Canis lupus familiaris: one gene and its partners. Each later gene encodes a partner of the first gene's protein in a complex. Links are inferred from orthologs where the notes say so. Each region holds a gene or a part of one and is shown on either strand. Other genes may lie near its edges.

The links.
Region 2: USH1C (region 1) and CDHR5 share a complex: the UniProt entries of both Homo sapiens proteins name them as parts of the IMAC/intermicrovillar adhesion complex. The link is inferred for Canis lupus familiaris from reciprocal best matches to the Homo sapiens genes USH1C and CDHR5.
Region 3: the proteins of USH1C (region 1) and MYO7A are in contact, whole or in part, in a crystal structure (PDB 5MV9), measured with the Homo sapiens proteins. The link is inferred for Canis lupus familiaris from reciprocal best matches to the Homo sapiens genes USH1C and MYO7A. Residues at the interface, in NP_001284693.1 of Homo sapiens: Glu450, Pro456, Ile457, Val461, Val462, Ser463, Tyr466, Glu467, Lys479, Gly480, Pro522, Tyr526, Asp527, Asp528, Glu529, Leu530, Thr531, Phe532, Phe533; in NP_000251.3 of Homo sapiens: Phe1946, Val1953, Ala1976, Lys1995, Lys1996, Trp1998, Gln2017, Pro2020, Lys2021, Arg2024, Tyr2026, Ser2112, Ala2113, Phe2114, Phe2115, Glu2116, Val2117, Lys2118, Ile2128, Ser2161, Gly2163, Asn2164, Thr2165, Tyr2166, His2168, Leu2181, Glu2183, Thr2184, Ser2185, Leu2186.

What each region holds. Positions count from the first base shown.
Region 1 is NC_049242.1:40,722,470-40,728,070, reverse strand, and holds part of USH1C (harmonin), read left to right. Parts: intron 1-889; coding exon 890-931; intron 932-1,417; coding exon 1,418-1,471; intron 1,472-1,810; coding exon 1,811-1,910; intron 1,911-4,479; coding exon 4,480-4,586; intron 4,587-5,333; coding exon 5,334-5,336; intron 5,337-5,601. UniProt on the Homo sapiens protein: Anchoring/scaffolding protein that is a part of the functional network formed by USH1C, USH1G, CDH23 and MYO7A that mediates mechanotransduction in cochlear hair cells. Required for normal development and maintenance of cochlear hair cell bundles.
Region 2 is NC_049239.1:26,065,099-26,071,296, reverse strand, and holds the start of CDHR5 (cadherin-related family member 5), read left to right. Parts: upstream 1-2,087; 5' UTR 2,088-2,153; coding exon 2,154-2,208; intron 2,209-2,301; coding exon 2,302-2,477; intron 2,478-2,759; coding exon 2,760-2,810; intron 2,811-3,966; coding exon 3,967-4,059; intron 4,060-4,171; coding exon 4,172-4,273; intron 4,274-4,383; coding exon 4,384-4,494; intron 4,495-4,568; coding exon 4,569-4,739; intron 4,740-5,089; coding exon 5,090-5,180; intron 5,181-5,312; coding exon 5,313-5,410; intron 5,411-5,487; coding exon 5,488-5,688; intron 5,689-5,761; coding exon 5,762-5,875; intron 5,876-5,948; coding exon 5,949-6,036; intron 6,037-6,131; coding exon 6,132-6,198. UniProt on the Homo sapiens protein: Intermicrovillar adhesion molecule that forms, via its extracellular domain, calcium-dependent heterophilic complexes with CDHR2 on adjacent microvilli. Thereby, controls the packing of microvilli at the apical membrane of epithelial cells.
Region 3 is NC_049242.1:21,734,922-21,740,993, reverse strand, and holds the start of MYO7A (unconventional myosin-VIIa), read left to right. Parts: upstream 1-1,961; 5' UTR 1,962-2,207; intron 2,208-4,177; 5' UTR 4,178-4,223; coding exon 4,224-4,241; intron 4,242-6,072. UniProt on the Homo sapiens protein: Myosins are actin-based motor molecules with ATPase activity. Unconventional myosins serve in intracellular movements. Their highly divergent tails bind to membranous compartments, which are then moved relative to actin filaments.

The DNA of each region.
Region 1 (5,601 bases):
GGGACCCTGCCCCAGGGCCTCTGCTCTGCTCCCACCTGCCCTGGGGGACTAACAGAGGCTTTGTGGCCTAGGACTTGGCAGGCACGCCCCCCCCCCCCCTCCCGGCTCCCGCTGTCTGGTTGGGGTTCCTAGGAGGGCAGCGTGTGCTGGCTCTGCCCTCGCCTTCCTTACCACCTTGTTTCTGCATCCTGGGGATATTGTCCCCGCAGCCCTCACCAAGCCGGGTTCCCTGAGACAAGTCTCCTCCTTCATCCTCCCCCGACTGAGGTTCTGGGAGGCCTCTTACCTCCTAGATAGGTGCTACATTAGGACCAGTGCTGGGTACTGGGTGAGCACGGACGCCCCTGTTCCTCTGGGAGCCCGACATCCCTTTGCACCGCCCACGCCCTGCACCCCAGTCATCTCGCAGCAGGTTCCCCAGGGAGAGCTGCCTCTTGCACAGTGTTGCCCTTCTCCGGGGTCAAAGCACTGGGTGCAGAAAACCAGGCCTTCACCCCCAGAGCCTGGACCTGGCCTCGCACGAGCACTCGGAGGAGCTCAGGTAGGGCCTTCAGGACCCGAGGCTGCAGGCAGATGACAGCTCCGGCAAGGCCGCGGGCCGCTCAGACACCCGGACAGCAGCCGGCGCCCACCCCTGCCTCAACTACCCAGGGCCCGGGCTGGGCTCCGCAGATGCTTGCATAGCTTCCTGCTTCTCCCTGCGCAGGGGGCTCTGGCTCCTGGGGCTTCCAGCCTCCTCCCTGCTTCCCCCTCCAGGCCACACCTGGCCCCCTCCCCTCTCCCCTACATCTGACCCATTCATGCCTTTTTCCTCTGTCCTGAGCTTGTTTCCTGCAGCGACCCTCAGGGAACTCTACTCTGTGCCCTAACACACTCCCTTCGCTTCCAGGATTTCCGGAAATATGAGGAAGGCTTTGACCCCTACTCGATGGTGAGAGATCACTCTCCTCCCCAGGGCAGCAGTCCCGGGAATGTGGGGTCGAGGGGTGTGGTGTGTTCCGTGGTGGGGCAGGTGAGGAGCCCCAGGGAGCCCCAGCTGCTCTTTCCTGCAAAGGCGCCTTTCAAACCACATTCGAGTGTGAAACAGGACTGGAGTGTGTGTTGGGGCGCAGTGAGGGTGTAACAGCGGTCACACTGGCCAAGCACTGACTGTGTACCAGGTGCGTGTGGCTTGCTGGGTGCTTACAGGGCATGTCCTCACCCAGCCCTCACAATATTCTCAGAAAGAATGGATCTGGGATTTCTGTGGTCACCTGTGTGTGTGTGTGTGTCCAGGTGGCCCCTGTGAGGCCTGGGACCCCCAGGTGAAGACCGATGGGTGTGGGGCTGGGAAGGGTCCCCTTGGCCATGTACCCTGTGGGACCCCACCCTCATCCTCCAGGCAGACTCAAAGCTCCACACTGCCTGTTCCCTCTAGTTCACCCCGGAGCAGATCACAGGGAAGGATGTCCGGCTCCTGCGCATTAAGAAGGTACATGGGCACATGGAGGTCAGGCGGCCACCACCCTTCTCTGCCCCAGGCCCCTCCCATCTTGGTGCCCTGCCTCTACTCTGGAGATGACTCCTGAGTGACTCCTCAGGTCCCCACCCATCTACTCTCTCCCCCAAGGATGTCCCCTCCTGTGGTGGGAGCACACACTCAGGCCCCACTTAGTGTCCAGGCTCCCTTCCCTCCCTGATGGCGCTGTCATTGACCCCCATGGCTTCTCCTGCCCTCTTTGTAGCCCTGTCAGGAGGCTCCTGGGTACCCAGGTGTCCACAGGCTGTTGTCGTCTGCTTGGCTCTTGAAGGCCTGTTTTTGTCTAACCAGGAGGGATCGTTAGATCTGGCCCTGGAAGGCGGTGTGGACTCCCCGATCGGGAAGGTGGTCGTCTCGGCTGTGTATGAGGGGGGAGCTGCCGAGCGGCATGGTGAGTGGGGAACCAGCCATGCCCCAGTTTGGGGATGGTGCAGTGGTTGAACAGGGACCCCAGGAAAGCACACGGCTGCCCACTTGGAGTGGACTGACCGACAGTTGCTCAAGAATGCCCCCCATCTGGATCTGCCCATCCACCTGCTGAGCCCACACGTTACCCATGGGCATATGATGGTGCCAGGACTATGGGCGTACAGCCCACCGCACCCCACGCTGCCCTCTGCCCCTCCCCCCCATCCAGGGGTGAAAACATGCTCAGAATTGCCAGATTCCGGCTGTAACAGAGCAGTCTGCTAAGTGCTGACAGACGGCTGGGGGCACGGAGGAAAGTTGTGGGACCTCGAGGGCCCCTAACCCACCAAGGGAAAGGGGGCCACCGGGAAGGCTCCCGACAAGCACCATACCTGAGCTGAGCCATAGAAGATAAGTCAATGTGAGCCTCGTGACGGTGGGCAAGAACTCTCCATGCAAAGGCAGGAGAGAGGGCATGAAACCTTCCCTGTCCTCTAAATAATAAGGGCCGACGGCCGTCAGGAACTCGCCATGTGCCAGGTGTGATTCTAAGCGCCTGCACCTCCTCTGTGTCTAAGGGGTTCACGTGTGCTACTAGGTCACTTAATCCTTGCGACAGCACCAAGAGCAGGTGCTGTTACCACTCTCATCTTACAGCTTAGGACACCGAGGCCGTTCCGGGACCCACAGCCAGTTAGTGGTGGAGGCAGGACCTGAACCCAAGCACTCTGCTCATATTTTGCTTTACTTTTGCCTTAAACCTGCTCACCTGGCGAGACTGTCTGAGACTCCCCATTCGTGGTTTCTTCTTCCAAAGCTAGGAGCCTTTTCAGTATTCTGGGGTCTTTTGTGAGGAAATCAGTGGCCTCGAAGGGGGAGACTTGGGACCCTCAGCTTTCCAGGCCAGAGCAGGAGTCCCATGGTGCCAGGCTGTGGTCGGTCAGTAGGATGGAGGGCAGGTGAGCACCCGAGGCAGGAGGCGGAGTGACAGGGAGTCACCTGGTTGCTGGGCAGCCAGGCTTCTGTGAGCTCCAAAGGCCACAGAACTCGGCTGCCTGTGGCCCCGGTGAGCTCAGGCCTGCCTCTTGCAGCCACACTTTGAGCTGTCGCTTCAGCTGGGGGGCGGGGGGCCACTCAGCTGGCAGCTGCCGTGGCCCAGGGCTGCCCTCCCAGTCCACACCCTCCTCCTCTTCTGTCCTCACTTCACGCCAGTGGAGAGAAAGACACCTGTCAGCTGGGTCTGGCAGGGAAGGAGGACCAGAATACTTTCCCGGGAGCCTCCCCTCCTTTCAAAGCCCCAGCCCAACCACTGCCTTATTGCTCCTGACGCTCCATCCTGAGTCCCTGCAAAAGGAAAAAGTGAGAGTCGCCTCTCCACAGGCCCACGGGCCAGAGGAAACTGCTGTCTACAGTCTGGCCCCACACTGCTTTGGACAAACCAGCAGCTGGTGACATTTTCTCCAAGAGCACACGTGCTTTAAGCCACTGCCACACCATCTTCAGTAACACACACTATGTTCCCGTGGCCTTCCTGCCAGCAAGACTTCTGGGTGATCTGTTTCAACGTAATGTAGAGAATGTGCTGTGGACACCAGAACTAAGAAAAAGTCCTTAAAAAGAACATTTTTTATAAGGTTCTGAAGTTGAAGATGTCTGAGAAACCAAGCACAATCTATGCACTTCTTGGAGGGCCACAATGCATGGTAGCATATTCAAGGCTCTGACAAGTCCTGCAGTGAGTAACTCTGCTTAACTTGTAACTTGGCTTTTCCCGAATTTATTAGACCACAGGTCAGCTTATCCAGGAAGACCTTTAACATCATTCACTTATTCGAGAACTATATCGAATTCCTGTTTTGTGCTAGGTATTATGGTAAGTGCTGTGGGAATGGTGATCAACCAAAGACAAGGTCCCTACTCTCATGGAGCTGAGAATCTGGTGGGAGAGACCATCCATCAACAAATAGATGTAGGATTACAAATTGTGAAAATGCTCTGCAGGAAGAGACTGGGATACTTTGAGGGAACAATAGGAAAGACGTCAAGATTGGACGCAGGTCAGAGCAGTTCCCTCTGAGGAGGAGACGTTTCACCTGAGCCCTACAAGGAAAGAAGAAAGAGACGGGGACAGTTGGCCCAGCTGGAACAGCATGTGAAGGCTCTGGCGTGGGAAAGAGCCTGACGCAGACAGGAACAGCTCACAGAACTAGCTCATGTTTCTGATAACCTCATGGGCCCCTCAGGTCTGCCTCCCTCCGTGATAGCAGAGGCCCATACAAAGGTTAGGGCGGCAATGGTTTGTCACTGGTGTCCTGATTCTATTGAGTCGGGGTGAAGGAGTGTGGACGGGGTGGGTAGGAAATGCCCTTGAGTAACCTGGTGGATTGTTTTCCCCTCATGCCTTCCGAGCCCATCTCAGAATCCAGGAGTCAAGCTCCTGTAGCCCTACAGTGGCCTCCTGTCCACCCCGCCTCCCACCGCCTTTGCCAAGTCCTGGGCCAGGCACGCGTCACATATGGCCCAGGTGACCAGCCAGCCTTATCTTTCTGCAGGTGGCATTGTGAAGGGGGATGAGGTCATGGCGATCAACGGCAAGATCGTGACGGACTACACCCTGGCTGAGGCTGAGGCCACCCTGCAGAAGGCCTGGAGTCAGGGGGTAAGAGCAAACCCCTTCCCGGCCTCCCTCCCCTGCTTGCCTCCCTGCCTTAAACCCTGGCCTCTGCAGCCAGGCCTTACAGTGAGGATGCCCCATCCCAGGGCGGGGATCCAGGGGCCAGGAAATTCTTAGGTGACATCCACATAACCCATCCAGCCAGTGGTCTCAATATGACACGATGGGATTCAGAAAAATAAATGTCAGTTCCTGACTTTGAGTCCAAAAAGCAAGTGGCACAAATATAGACTCCAGAAGACCAGGTATGGCAACCCATGCAAGAAAAAAGACTTAAGGTCTTCTCTAAGTGCACACTGATCAGGAATCAAAAATGCTGTGGCTACTAGAAAGCATTAATAGAACAAGTGCCCAAAATGGAGGAGGGTCTGGTGGTAGTCTGATCTGTGCTCATTAGCCACTTGGGTCAAGGCCACCACATAAGGTCTCCCAGGCTCTGTACTGCACAATCCGAGGGGATACCCTCCTATAGACTACAGTGTGGATAGTGCCCTCTCATGTTGTGCAATGCACAACCTGTGCAACTGTACGCAGGCAGCCGAGCCTGAGGTATTAAGTTCAGTGCCGAGGAAGCTGACCAGATGGGCCTGGGACCCACATGAAGGGATGTGGAGAAGAGAAGACTCACGGGTAACCTGATGACTGTCTTTGATTATCTGAAGGGCTGTATTAGGGTAGAGGGAGCAGAAGTGTTCTCTGTGTTTCTTGAGGGCAGAACTGGATTGGATGGAGGGAGTCCTGGGGTGAGCTTTCAGCTCAGTGTTAGAAGCTATTGCATGGGAGAGGGGCCCAGTGATATTTCACATACTTTTTATTGGGTACACCTAAGCCAAGGGTGGACAATGATAGATAAGCCAAGGATGGCAATGGTGCCATTGAGGGGATTCAAGTGTCAGGGTCAGAAAGCTAAGCCTGAAGTGCACCTAGAGAGTTTGTTACAAATACTATTTCTCAGGACCTACCCCAAATCTCCAGGAGCCAAGTCTGTGAGTCTAGAGTT
Region 2 (6,198 bases), on another chromosome or scaffold:
CCCGCCCCCGCCCCCGCCCGGCCCCGACGGCCCTGACCGCCCCTCGCCCCTCTGCCCCTCCGCCCCTCGCCCCTGCACCTCTCGCCCCTCCGCCCCTCGCATCTCGCTCCTCCGTCCCTCCGCCCCGCGCCCCTCCGTCCCTCCTCCCCTCGCCCCTCCGCCCCTCGCCCCTCCTCCCCTCGCCCCTCGTCCCTCCGCCCCTCGCCCCTCCTCCCCTCCGCCCCTCCTCCCCTCCGCCCCTCGCCCCTCCTCCCCTTCGCCCCTCCGCCCCTTCACCCCTCCGCCCCTCGCCCCTCCGCCCCTCGCCCCTCCGTCCCTCCGCAGGGCCCCGCGGCACTCGGACGGCACGTTCACCAGCGAGCTCAGCCGCCTGCGGGAGAGCGCCCGGCTGCAGCGGCTGCTCCAGGGGCTGGTGGGGAAGCGCAGGTGAGGGCGGGGCGGGGACGGGGCGGGGGGGGGGTGGTGCTGGGACCGGGTCGGAGGGCGCCTGGCTGGGGCAGCCCCAGGACTAACGCTGGTCGGGGCGGGGGGCAGCGAGCAGGACGCAGAGAACAGCACGAGCTGGACCACGGCCCCCGACGGCCGCCTGTGCCTGCGCTGGCCCGACTCGCCCGCCCTGCGCGCCTGGTGAGCACCGGCCCTGGGCCCGGGGGGCGCGGAGGTGAGGGGCGCTGGTGACCCGGAGGCCAGCTTCTCGCTCCCGCCTCACCCGCTGTGTCCACAGGGTGCCCCTGAGGGACCCCCTGGATCAGGCCTGGGCTCCCCAGCCGCCTCCCGGAACCGGGTCTGGGGCCTCGTTTTCGGAGCCGGCCATCCCTGCTGCCCAGGTGACACGGAGGAGGCCTTGAGGAAGAAGGGACCTGCCGCGGCAGCCGCCACGGCCGCCGCCCGGAGCCGACTGGGGCCTGGACGGGAGGGGGCAGGGGACGGGTTGTAACTGTCACCAATAAAGAGGAATTCAGACGGTGGCCCTCTGAGCTCCCTCTGCGCCGTCCCCCAGGGCGGGGCTGGCGGCACCAGGCGACCACAGGCTCCAGGACTGTGGCCACACCCAGTGCCCTTTACACCTGGGAGCCTGTGGGGCGCCTCACCTCCCTTCTGTCTCCTGTCCTGTCACCTGAGCTCCCCAGAGACCCATCCGGATCCCTGCCAGCTACTCAGCAAACATTCAGGGGCTCTGGGGGGGCACAGGACACCTGCCCTGGAGGCCCCTTGTCACAGTGCCAGCCGGTGGGAGGACCTGGGGGGCAAGGAGGCTCAGGCCGGGCAGGAAGAGGTGACGGGCATGGGTGCCACCAGGGGCCCAGGAGTGCACCCCAGGGGGAGGCTGTGAGCCTGGCTCCTGCTCCCGGCTGTGTGGTCTGAGCCTGTGCAGAGGGGGATGACACCCCAGGGGAGCCACGGAGGCGGTGCTGACACAGGAAGGGATGAGGCCAGGAGCCAAGGGCGAGGAAGCAGAAGGGCCACACCCCCTACTGTCCCTGCGTGGGGGGGGCCTCTCCCCTGCTGCCTTGGGCTTGGGGGCCCTTGGGGTAGGGCGGCAGGGGCCAGGGCCCAGGAGCCTGCCAGGGACCCCTGAAGACCCGGGCTCCCCCCGCCCCGAGCTCCCAGCAGCCTCCAGAAACACTGCCGCCCCCACCCCTGCCCTTGGAGGAAGTGGGGTGTTTCCAGCACAGGCAGGGGCGACCCCAGGACACAGACTGTGCAGGGAGGGGAGGTGGGCTTGGAGGGAACACCCGGGGTCTGACTTGGCTCCAAGATGATTCTGGAAGGAGAGCCCAGCGAAGGGGCGGCCGGGGCTAGGGGGACGGGTGGGTACAGCAGACACGGGAGCCAGGCCTGGGCCCCCAACCCCTGCCCCGGCTGCGCCCACCCAGCACGACCCGGGCCCTGCGCAGGCCCATGGAGCCCTGAGCCGGGAGCCCCCGTGGCCATGGCCCCCGCACGTGGCCCAGGGCTGGTGGGCAACCACGGGACGCCCCCTCCGGGCAGCTGGCCAGGCCTGGGCGGCGGCCGGCGAAAGCCCCCCTGCTGGAGGCCGAGGCCTGTAAAGGATCACACTGTGGGGCGGTGCCTGGTGGGGCAAAGGTCGCCCGCTGAGCCGCCACCCGGCAGCCAGCTGCGCACAGGGTCGAGCAGCGCGGCCCACGGAGATGGGGGCTTGGGCCCTGCTGCTGCCGCTGCTGGTGGCCACGGCACGGGCCCAGGGTAGCTGCGGGGCGGCGGGGGCAGTTGGGGCGGCGGGGGGGGTGCAGGGGCGGGGGGGTGGGGGGCACTGAGCCTTCCCTTCCTGCTCTCCAGTCTGCGCCGTAAGCAACAACATCTTCGAGGTCCAGGAGAACACGATTCAGAGCGGGCCCCTGGCTCACATCGACGTCCCCGCGGGCCAGCAGGTGACCCTCGGGTCGTCGTCCACTCCCTTCGCCTTTCGGATCCAGGGGACTGAGCTGTTTCTCAACGTGACTCCTGACTATGAGGTGCAGACGGGGGGCCGGGTGGGGCCCCACACAGGGCAGCTGAGTGGCGGGCGCGCTCCTCGGACCGGGGCTGTCCCAGGCTCGGGGTCCGTCTGCTCGGGGTCCGTCTGCGCTTCGCTGGCCGCCCCGCCCCCGCATCATCCACGGACCCCTCTGGGGCCTCCAGGCTTGGTGATGCCCTGGCCCCAAGGGGCATAGGGCCATTAGGGGCTGGAGCTGCCCCTGGACTTAGCGTGGACGCTGGGGACCCTGGTGACCACCCGGCCCCCGTCTGCCCCCCAGGAGAACACCCTGCTGGAGGCGCACCTGGAGTGCAAGAGTGGCAACACCGTGGTGAGTACCCCCATCCCCTGCCTCTGGGTCGCCGCCCCCACCCTATGACATCACAGCTCTTGGGCTTGGACCTCTGCACTCTGTTCTGACTGGTCCAGGGCCCCGCCCTGGGGACCTCACCCTGTGCGGTTTACAAGTGTCGCTCCTGGGCTGGCGCCCCCACTTCCTCCCGCCCAGACTGCCCCGAGGTGCAGACCCCCCAGCACAGAGGCACCTTGCCCAACCGGTTCCCTCGCCCCCACCCCCTCCCCACACCTCTCTCCATCGGCAAGTCCGTGAGCTCTGCCTGAAGCTGGACTCCAGACCAACCAGGGCCTTGGCCACCAGCATCTCCCTTCCGGAAACTTGGAGCTGGCTGCTTGCTCCCCTCCCGGCCTCAGCCAGTCCAGTCTCAGTGTGGCAGGACCATCGGGCCCAGCCAGCGGCGCATCCCCGCCCGGCGCCCCGGCTGCTCTCCCGCTCAGAGGCAAGGCTGAATGCCCCGGGCAGCGGGCAGCGCCAGGTGCCCCAGCCCGAGGCCGCTCCAGCTGCCCTTGAGCCCTCTCCCCAGACGCGCACCTGCCTCCCGCTGTCGCCCCTCGGCCTTCGCTCCAGGACCACCTTCTCAAGGGGCCCCTGACCACTCTGTCCTGAGCTGCAAGCCCGGCCCCCACGCACCTGTCGGCTTGCCCACGGTCCCCGGTCCTTCCGATTTTGTCATTATCTGCAAAGGGACTCGTGGGCATCATGTGACCCCCGATGCCCGCCCTCCCCACAGTCACGGAGCCGCCAGCAAGGCCCACCCAGCGAGGCCGCCGGCTACTTCTCTCTAGCATCTGCCCCTCCGGCCCTTCCTCTCTAGTGTGTTTATTGAAGCAATCTCTCCCCTCAACGTGGGCCTGAACTCCCACCCCGAGATCAAGAGTCGCCCCCTCCTCCCACTGAGCCAGCCGGGTGCCCCTCCCGAGCCTCTTTCAACATATGGGTTCCCCTTCCTCTCTTCCTTTCTCCTCGGGAATTATTTTTGAAGCGATTTGCTCATTTCGCCGTGGTTCTCACCTGGGATTGGCGGTGCCCCAGCCCGGCCGGTAGCCAAGTCCTTTGCCCGGGCACCTGCCGTCCCCGGGCTCGCGGCGGCCCGTGTGTGATGCAGGGTGCTCAGGCCGTGTCCCCGCAGGTGACCCAGCTGAGGGTGATTGTGTTTGTGCTGGACGTCAACGACAACCCACCCAAGTTCCCCTTTAAACTCCGGGTGGAGGACGTGCCCGAGGTGAGAGCCGGGGGGCGGGGGGCGAGGGGCCGGAGAGCAGGGCTAGTGGCCTGGGCCTTGGCCTGGGGGACCAGGGGTCGAGGGTGTAGACACCACTCCCCTCCATCCCCAGGACAGTAAAGTGAACACCACTGTCATCCCTGAGACGGAACTGGAGGCTCAAGATCCCGACAAGGATGACGTCTTGTTCTACACCCTCCAAGAGGTGACCCCGGTCAGTGTCCCCGACCCCCACGCCAACTCTGAACCCTCCCGTCGGGCAGCCCCTCTCCATGTTCCCCAGGGTCTCAGGCTGAGTCGCACCCGCCCCCCCCACCTCCCCAGGGTGCTGGTAGCTTCTTCTCCTTGCTGGGCACCAACCTGCCCGCCCTGCGGCTGGACCGGCCCCTGGACTTCTACAAGTGGCAGAACATGAGCCTCCTGCTGCTGGTGCGGGTGAGCAGGCCGGGACACCCCCCCGCTGCCCCCAGCCCCCGCTCGCAGGCCTGACCCCCGCTGCGCTCCCACAGGACACACAGGAGGAGAACGCCCAGCCCAGCCACACAGCCACGGCCACCCTGGTCCTGGACGTGCGGCCCGCCGACCTCCGGCCCCCCTGGTTCCTGCCCTGCGCCTATTCAGACCTTTACGTCTGCATCAACGCCGAGTACCAGGGGGCCATCCCCACAGGCCACAGACTGGTACTGGGGGTGGGGGGGCGGGGGGTGTGTGGGCTTGGGGCCCTGCGGCCGGGCCAGAACCCCTGGGGACCCGCTGAAGTGGGCCGCCCGCCACAAGAGGCACCCCAAGGCGCCGGGGGCAGCGGGGCAGACGCGGGCTCTAGGCCCCCATGGTACCGAGCACGTGTACCGAGTGCAGCCTCGGTGTGACTGCTCCCTGTCCCTCCTGGGGCCGCCATCGCTCAGATCAATCCGAGGTCTTTGCACAAATTCACCCCCACGGGGCGTGCTCAGCAGCCGTGTGGGGAACGGGGGCTGCGCTGGGCCCCGCTCAGCGGCCCCAGGTGTCTCCCCTGTCCCTGCTCCTGCAGCCAGCCCCCCTTGTCCTGCGTCCCGGGCCCATCTATGCCGTGGACGGGGATCGGGGCGTCAACCAGCGTGTCCTCTACAGCATCGTGACAGGTGAGTGCGCGCTGGAGCCCTGCCTCTGCATCCTGGACCTGGGGGGACTTGCCCGTGGGCAGAGCCAGCGGGGGCCCCAGACCTCAGACCCCTGGACGGAGCGAGAGGCCTCACCTCCCCCCATCTTCGCAGGACAAGACGACGGCACATTTGCCATCGACGCCAACTCGGGCAACCTCACCATGACCAGGAGCGTTCCCAGCCCAAAGACCTTCACGCTGCTGGTCAAGGTGGGCGCCCTGGCCAGGCCTCCATGGGGCCGGGGCTTTGAGGACCTGCTTGTCGCTGAGGCCTCCCCCACCCCCAGGGTGAGCAGTCAGACGGCGCCCGCTACTCGGTGACCTGGGTCACGATCGAGGCCCGAAGTGCCACTGGCAGCGTGCCCCAGTTCCCGCAGAGCCGCTACTATGGCACCGTGGCGCTCAACTCTGCAGTGGGCGTGGAGATCCGAGACACAGCCAGCCCCTCCCTGCCTCTGAGGGTCTGGGCTCAGGACCCCGACTTTCCGGTAGGCACCAGGCCCTCTGTGGGGGGGGAGTCGGGGGGCAGCCTGGGCCCAGGGCTCACTGCGCAGTGTCCAGGACCTCAACTCCGCCATCACGTATCGCATCACCAATAACACCAAATTCCGGATGGATGGCGAGATCGTGCGGACCGCCGCCCAGCTGACCCAAAAGGGGGTCTCCTATGCAGAGGTAAGGGTGGGGGGCACCCCCAAGGGGGGACGACGGCGGGGCCTGTGAGGGACCAGCCCCGCTTCTGCTCCAGGTTGAGGCCATGAACACCGTGACCGCAGGCACCGCCCGCTCGGTGCTGGAGATACAGGTGCTGGAGCCGCAGGGACCCGCCCCCACAGGTGAGCCCGGCTGCTCACCCCGGCGGGGGGCGGGGGCTCCCCGGGGCGGGCGCGCTGGACAGAGGCAAGCCCGGATCCTGTCCCTGGCCCCCCAGGTTCATCAGGGCCCCCAGAAACCCCCACACCCCCAGGGGCTGGAGGAACCACCAGCCTCTCGAGCAG
Region 3 (6,072 bases), about 19 Mb from region 1:
GGGAGGGCTTGGGAGTTCCAGCTGAGGCTGGGCTCTGCTTCCCACCTGGTGCATCTGTGGGCAGAGGTCACAGGGATCATTCCATCATTCCTTCAGCTGGCCTTGTCCCAAGCCCCGTCTCAGGTACTGGGGATGCGGGGAGCCAGCCACAGTCACATCTGTGGGGCAGCCCACAAATGGGTTGGAGAAGAGGCAGGGAGGCCAGTGGAAACATTGATCCTAACAAACACCATGCAGGGAGTGGCTAGAAAGCCAGTGTGGGTTCTGGGGGCTTCCAGCCTGCCTGGGAGGGAAGGTCCAGTCCATGCCCTTGGTACAGGTGGGCAGTGGAGGGAGGGAGGCAGCCAGGAAGAGGAGCTGGGTTTGTGGGAGGCCAGAGTGGAGGGTGTTGGGAGGAAGATGCTGGCAGCTCCAGTCAGGAAGCTGGGGAGAAAGGGTGCACAGATTTTGGAGGTAGAGTGGACAGACTTCAGTGATGATTGGGTTGGGGTGAGGGATGAGGGAGAAGGGAAAATGAATGAAGGCCAATTTGTAGGTTTCTCCATAGGACCATGAGCAAAGGATGTTATGAATTGCTGAGCCGTGCTTAGCATAGTACATGACTGGATGCTGAGTAAATTGTTGCTATCGTGGCATCCAGAGGTCACTGAGGACCTCTTCACTCCCTACCACTCTAGGGCCATCCTCACAAACCAGGCCCGCATTCCACCTCTGTGTTCCTCTTGGGGTCTCAGTTTTCCAGTAGATGCAGGCCGCCACCAGCCTGGGAGGCTCAGCAAGGGAGGTGATTGGAAGAGTGGTAGGTAGCCAAGTGTCGGTGGCAGGCACTAGCCTTGAAGGGAGGATGGTGCCCCGGAGCAGCCCCTGGGGGGCTCAGGAAGGTCGAGTCCGAGTCAGGGCACTGTTGCTTCCACCTGCTGCTCCAGGCAGAGGCTGGAGGCTCAGCCTTGCTACTGTGGGGGCTCTGGAGGGCAGCTGTGCTGGTGCCCAGCAGGTGGCACACTTGAGCCTCCTACCCCATTCTTTGGTTGGGGGGCGGGGGGCGGGGGTGGGGTGGGGGAGGAAAGCGGCTAACCTCTTCCCTGCAGACCCACCTCAGTTCAGAGGCTGGGGATCCAAGAGTACTCCCCTCTGCTCAGGCCAAAGTTCCCCTAGCGAGGCTTGCACTGATGGGGCAGCTGCCGGGTGGCAGGAGGCAAAGGGTGGTGACAAGAGGTCTCAGCAAGGAGTCTGCAACATTATTGTCTTTGCCAATGCCAAGGACGCTCGGTGTACTCCTCCTGTTTACGCCCCACCCCACACTTTTAAATCACACTATTTCACTTCAATTCATATGTTTTCCTGGTACAGGCAGGGTTGCTCCAAATCAGTTGGTTTGGGAAAGTTTCCTGGATGATTATGGACAACACCTGTGACCGCCCTCCCCCCCCCCCCCCCCCCCCCCCCCCCGCCCGCGGCAACCCGCAACCAGAACAGTGTTGATGGCGAAGAGCTTCAGAGGCACTTCTGAGGGGAGTTCTTAGGAGGTGGGCTGGGGAGAGGGGGCCAGCAGTGGGGCTTGCTACCCCCCGCCCGGCCCTGCCCTGCCAGGTCGGCTCCTCTCAGGAGTGCCAAGCAGGCGTTTACGGAGAACACGGCCTTGGTGGACGCGGCAGATGCCGAGACTCAGCAAATCTGTGACCCGGTCGGGATCAGGAGGTTCCCCGCCCACGTGCCGGGAGCAGGTGGCCTTATTACATATAATAGGCAGGGGAAGCTGGGGGAGGCGGTGTCCAGTCCCGCTGCTCAGCAGCACGCCCGGGGACCCGGGGCCCTGCCTCCACTGCGCGCCGGCCCCAGCGCAGGGCCCTGAGCAGCACAGCCGGCCTCCCTCCGCGCTGATGTCACCGCACCCGGACCTTGGAGGCCCCTCTGACTCCGCCTCCTGAGGGAAGGCTCTGGAGTGGCGAGCGGGGAGGGCAGCGGTGCGGCTGGACAGCTGCCCTGGCCGGGAAAGAGAGGGAGAGGCGGAGAGGGAGACAGTCACACAGGGAAGAAGTGACATCCAAAGAGAGCCCCAGACTGCCGAGCCCCGGAGTGAGACAGAGGAAGAGGGGACGTGTGTCTGCAGACTGTCCCAGACGCGTGACCCCAGCTCTGAGCCCTTCGTGCAGGTGGCAGCTGCATCCAGTCTGGTGGGCAGCTGAGCGTGGGGAGCTGGGACCCCGGTAAGCACGGGCTGCCCGCTCTCCTGGGCTCTCTGGGAGAAGGGCTGCGGGACGTCTGGGGGTATCAGGGGCTTGGGCCACCTGGGAGCCATGTGCTCCTGGTCGGGGGCCCAGCCACAGCAGCCACTGAATGAAATTGTCCTGAGCCTGGGCAGATGGAGGCTTGTCGCCTGGACAAGAGAAGAGTCAAGGGGCATGGCGTCATTGAATGGTCTCTGACCAGGCCTGGGGCAGGGGCGCAAACGTGCTGGGCTGGCAACTGGGGGGCGGGGGGCGGGGGGGAGAGACACTCTTTTGGCCTCTGACACTCTTCCTTGACCTCTCTCTCTCTCTCTCTTTCTCTCTTTCTCTTTGGTAAGTGACTTCCTTCCTCTGTGCCTCAAATTTTCCATCTGTGAAATGGGAATAGGAAGCCCCCACCCCAACCCAGGGTTGTTGTGGAGACCAGGTAAAGTCAGGCATGGGCATAGACATGCAAACACAGTTTTGCTTTCCCTATTGTCAATTTGAAAAGCAATGGACTTAACAGAGACTAGTTCTCATTTTGAGGAAAAAGTTTATCTCGTAGCTTTTTTCTTACAAGAAAAAAAAAAAAGCTTACAAGAAAAATTTAATGTGGCCATTAAATTCCAAGCTTTTACCACCCCATCCACCCTCCAGGGCCCTGAAAGCCCTGGCTCTTTGCGGCCTCTGAGGCTCACGCTGGTGCAGGAGGGCAGCACCACCAGCGCTGGTGACTTGCCTTCCCGGCCGGCCAGTCTGGCACGGTCTCCAGAAGAACTGCACGCCTGCTGCGTTCCGGAGCTCCGGGGCAGGGGTCAGGGCTCAGGTGTCAGGCAGCGTCCTGGACAGAGGATCAAATGCCCCGGCGCCTCTGAATGGCCCTTGTGAAAAATTGATGCTCACCCTGGGGGGCAGGTTAGGGGGCATGGGGGCCCCCCACTGGGGCCTGTGGGCTCTGGCCACCTTGGATCACCACACTCGATTCCCACAGTTCCTTCCTGAGCAATCTCTGGGCCTGGCCCTGTACCGTGTGAGGTAGTGGCTCAGCCCCACCTCCTTGCTCTGGATTAACTCCCCAACTTTGGAGGGGGCAGACGTGGGGACAGACCCTGACCTGACAACATAATGCATATAGTCAGGGCTGGATAGACAGAAACATCAGGACTCTTGGCAGCCTAGGGGTGGTCAGGGAGGGCTTCCTGGAGAAGGCACTGTCTGAACTGAGCCATAAAGTAGAGGTGGGAATTTGCTAGTCAGCATTCCAGGTAGAAGAGTCAATGTATGCAAAAGCCAGGAGGTATGAAAAGAGGTGGCATGTTTCAGGAGTCATGAGTGCTGAGAATGGTGTATGTGCAGGGAGAGGTGAGGAAGGAACCCAGAAAGCAGTGGGAGAAAAGACTAAGACATTAGCAGGAGCCACAAGGTACTGGGCCTTCAAAGCCAGCCTGAAAGCAGAGGGTGCTCTGTGGAAGGGTTTGAGGCAGGGCATGCCATGAGCAGGTCCTGCTCAGCCTGTGCCCCCTCCTCTTGGGCCTGGCTGCTGCTGTCACCCTAGCTCCTTGGGCAGACCTGAGCAGGTGGGGGAGGCCAGAAATCAGGTCCCGATCCTGAACCTGTCTTGCTCTGCTTTGCGACTTTGGCAAGCCTTGGTCCATCTCTGGGTCCCTTTGCCCTTATGTCCAGGCGAGGGGGCTGGACTTGCTACTTCCTAGGAGCCCTTTAGAAATCTCTGAATGACCGTAACCAGGAGAAGAGCTCAGCTGCTCTGGGCAGTAGAGCTGGTGACTGTGGCTGAGGCTCAGGTCACGCAGGCTGGGCTGTGGCCAGAGGGAGAGTAGCCAGGGAGGGAGGGTTCCCCAGAGGGAGGAGTGGCTGAGACTTTGGGAAGAGCCCAGGTGACTCCAGCCAGGCTCATGGCTGCCAGGGTGGGCCTGACCAGAGGCTTCACATGGTCTCTCCCCCTGCAGAACCACATCTGGCCAGGCGGGAAGCAAGAGCATCTGAGGAAGAACAATGGTGATTCTTCAACAGGTGAGTGCTCTCTGCACCCCACTGGCCTTCATCTTTCTATTGCCAGGAAGAACTCTGTTGGGTGGCTCATCCTGCCCCATCTCACATTCATCTGGTTAAATCACAGGACACCTGCCCCAGTACTTTTTTATTTTTTATTTTTTCTAATATTTTATTTTATTTATTCATGACAGACAGAGAGAGGCGGGCAGAGACACAGGCAGAGGGAGAAGCAGGCTCCATGCAGGGAGCCCGACATGGGACTCGATCCTGGGTCTCCAGAATCATACCCCAGGCTGAAGGCAGTGCTAAACCGCTGAGTCATTGGGGCTGCCCTGCCCCAGTACTTTTAGAAATCACCTATTTATGCTTAAAACTTGCTGTGAAAATTTCCCTGTCTCTCTCAGGCCCAGTCTAGAACTGCTCCCTCTGATGTGTCTCCTGGGGCCTTCCTTTCTCACTGCACTCATCCCACTGGGTAGAAATTATTTATTTACATGCATCTCTGAATCCTCAGGCATTCCACAAAGTAGAACACGTGCAAGGCCCCAACGTGGGGCAGCCTTTGGGGACAGGGAATAAGAAGTTGGTCAGTCTAATGAAGCCAGACCAGGACAGGCCTTGAGCCTGGCACGGGAGCAGTGAGTGGCGGATGACCTGGTTGGAGCTGCAGCCTCCTAGGGTAGTACGGGAAAGAAGCAGAGGTACTGGCCCCGGCTGAGTCCTCTAGCCGCCTCCTTCCTTCTTGGGGCCACCATGGCCCCTGACCCTCAGCCCTTCCCCGTGATCAGCCTGAGGCTCTAATGAGCTCCTGGTCTCCAGAGCCAGGAATGTGGGCCCAAAGCCAGGTCAGCTTGGCACCAAGCCCTAGGGCTGGTGGGGATGTGTGCTGTGGGGACCTTGCCAGCAGCTTCATAGCCTCCAGACCCATCAGAGGCCAGTGGGCAGCCTTGTTCTGCAGCTGTGTGTGTGTGAGAGCCAGAGAGAGACAGAGACAGAGAGGAAGCAGGCTTCAGGCAGGGCAGGATCAGAATAGACAGTTTTCTATCCCAGAGTGAGGAGACCCCCCCCCCCCAAGAGCCCCTCGGCCTGGCCTGACACCTTGTTCAAAGCCCCGCCAGAGGCAGCTGAGCCAAGGGAAGGAAAGTTGCTGTCCTGGAGCATCTGCTCTGTGCAGGGGCTTTGGCTGCAGGCAGGGCTGGGTGGGTGGGGGCATTCATGGCCCCCAGAGGGGCAGCCTGGGCCACCCATAGCCCCCACGGGGTTTCCCCACAGGAAGCTATGAGGCCTCCCTTGCCCTCTCTGAACCGGCCCTCCTCACCCTGTGGGTAAACGCAGGCTCTGCCCACCCCTCACACAGCAAGGACACTTCTGTTACTGCTTTGCTCCTGGGAAAGGCCCCAGCTGGGGGGGGAGGGGGAGCCAGCCAGCTATGCAGCTCTAAGACAGAGCCCGCACCCCTGGGCTCTGGCTGGGCTTCATTTTTGATGAGTGGGCAGATGTGGGCATGTTCTTCAGCCTTCTTGAGCCTCTGTTTCCTCACCTGTAAGATGAGGGGGAAATCCCTCTTTCCTGGGTTGTTGTGAAGATAAAATGCCATGAGGGTCAGTCTAGGTGCTGCTGCTTTCTCCTGCCCCTCGAGCCCGCCTCTCCGTCCTGCCCTGAAAGACCCCGGTTCTCCCGCACATCCTGCCTGGGCACTTGGCTTCCCATTTTCCTGGCGGCCTTCTCCTCAGGCCTTGAGGTGGCCGCTCTTCCCCTGGGGAGCCTTCCCTGCTCTGCCCACGGCAGAGTCGGAGCACATTCCATCTTTGTCCTCAGTTTACCTGAGGCCCCCAGGTGAGCCTGGAAG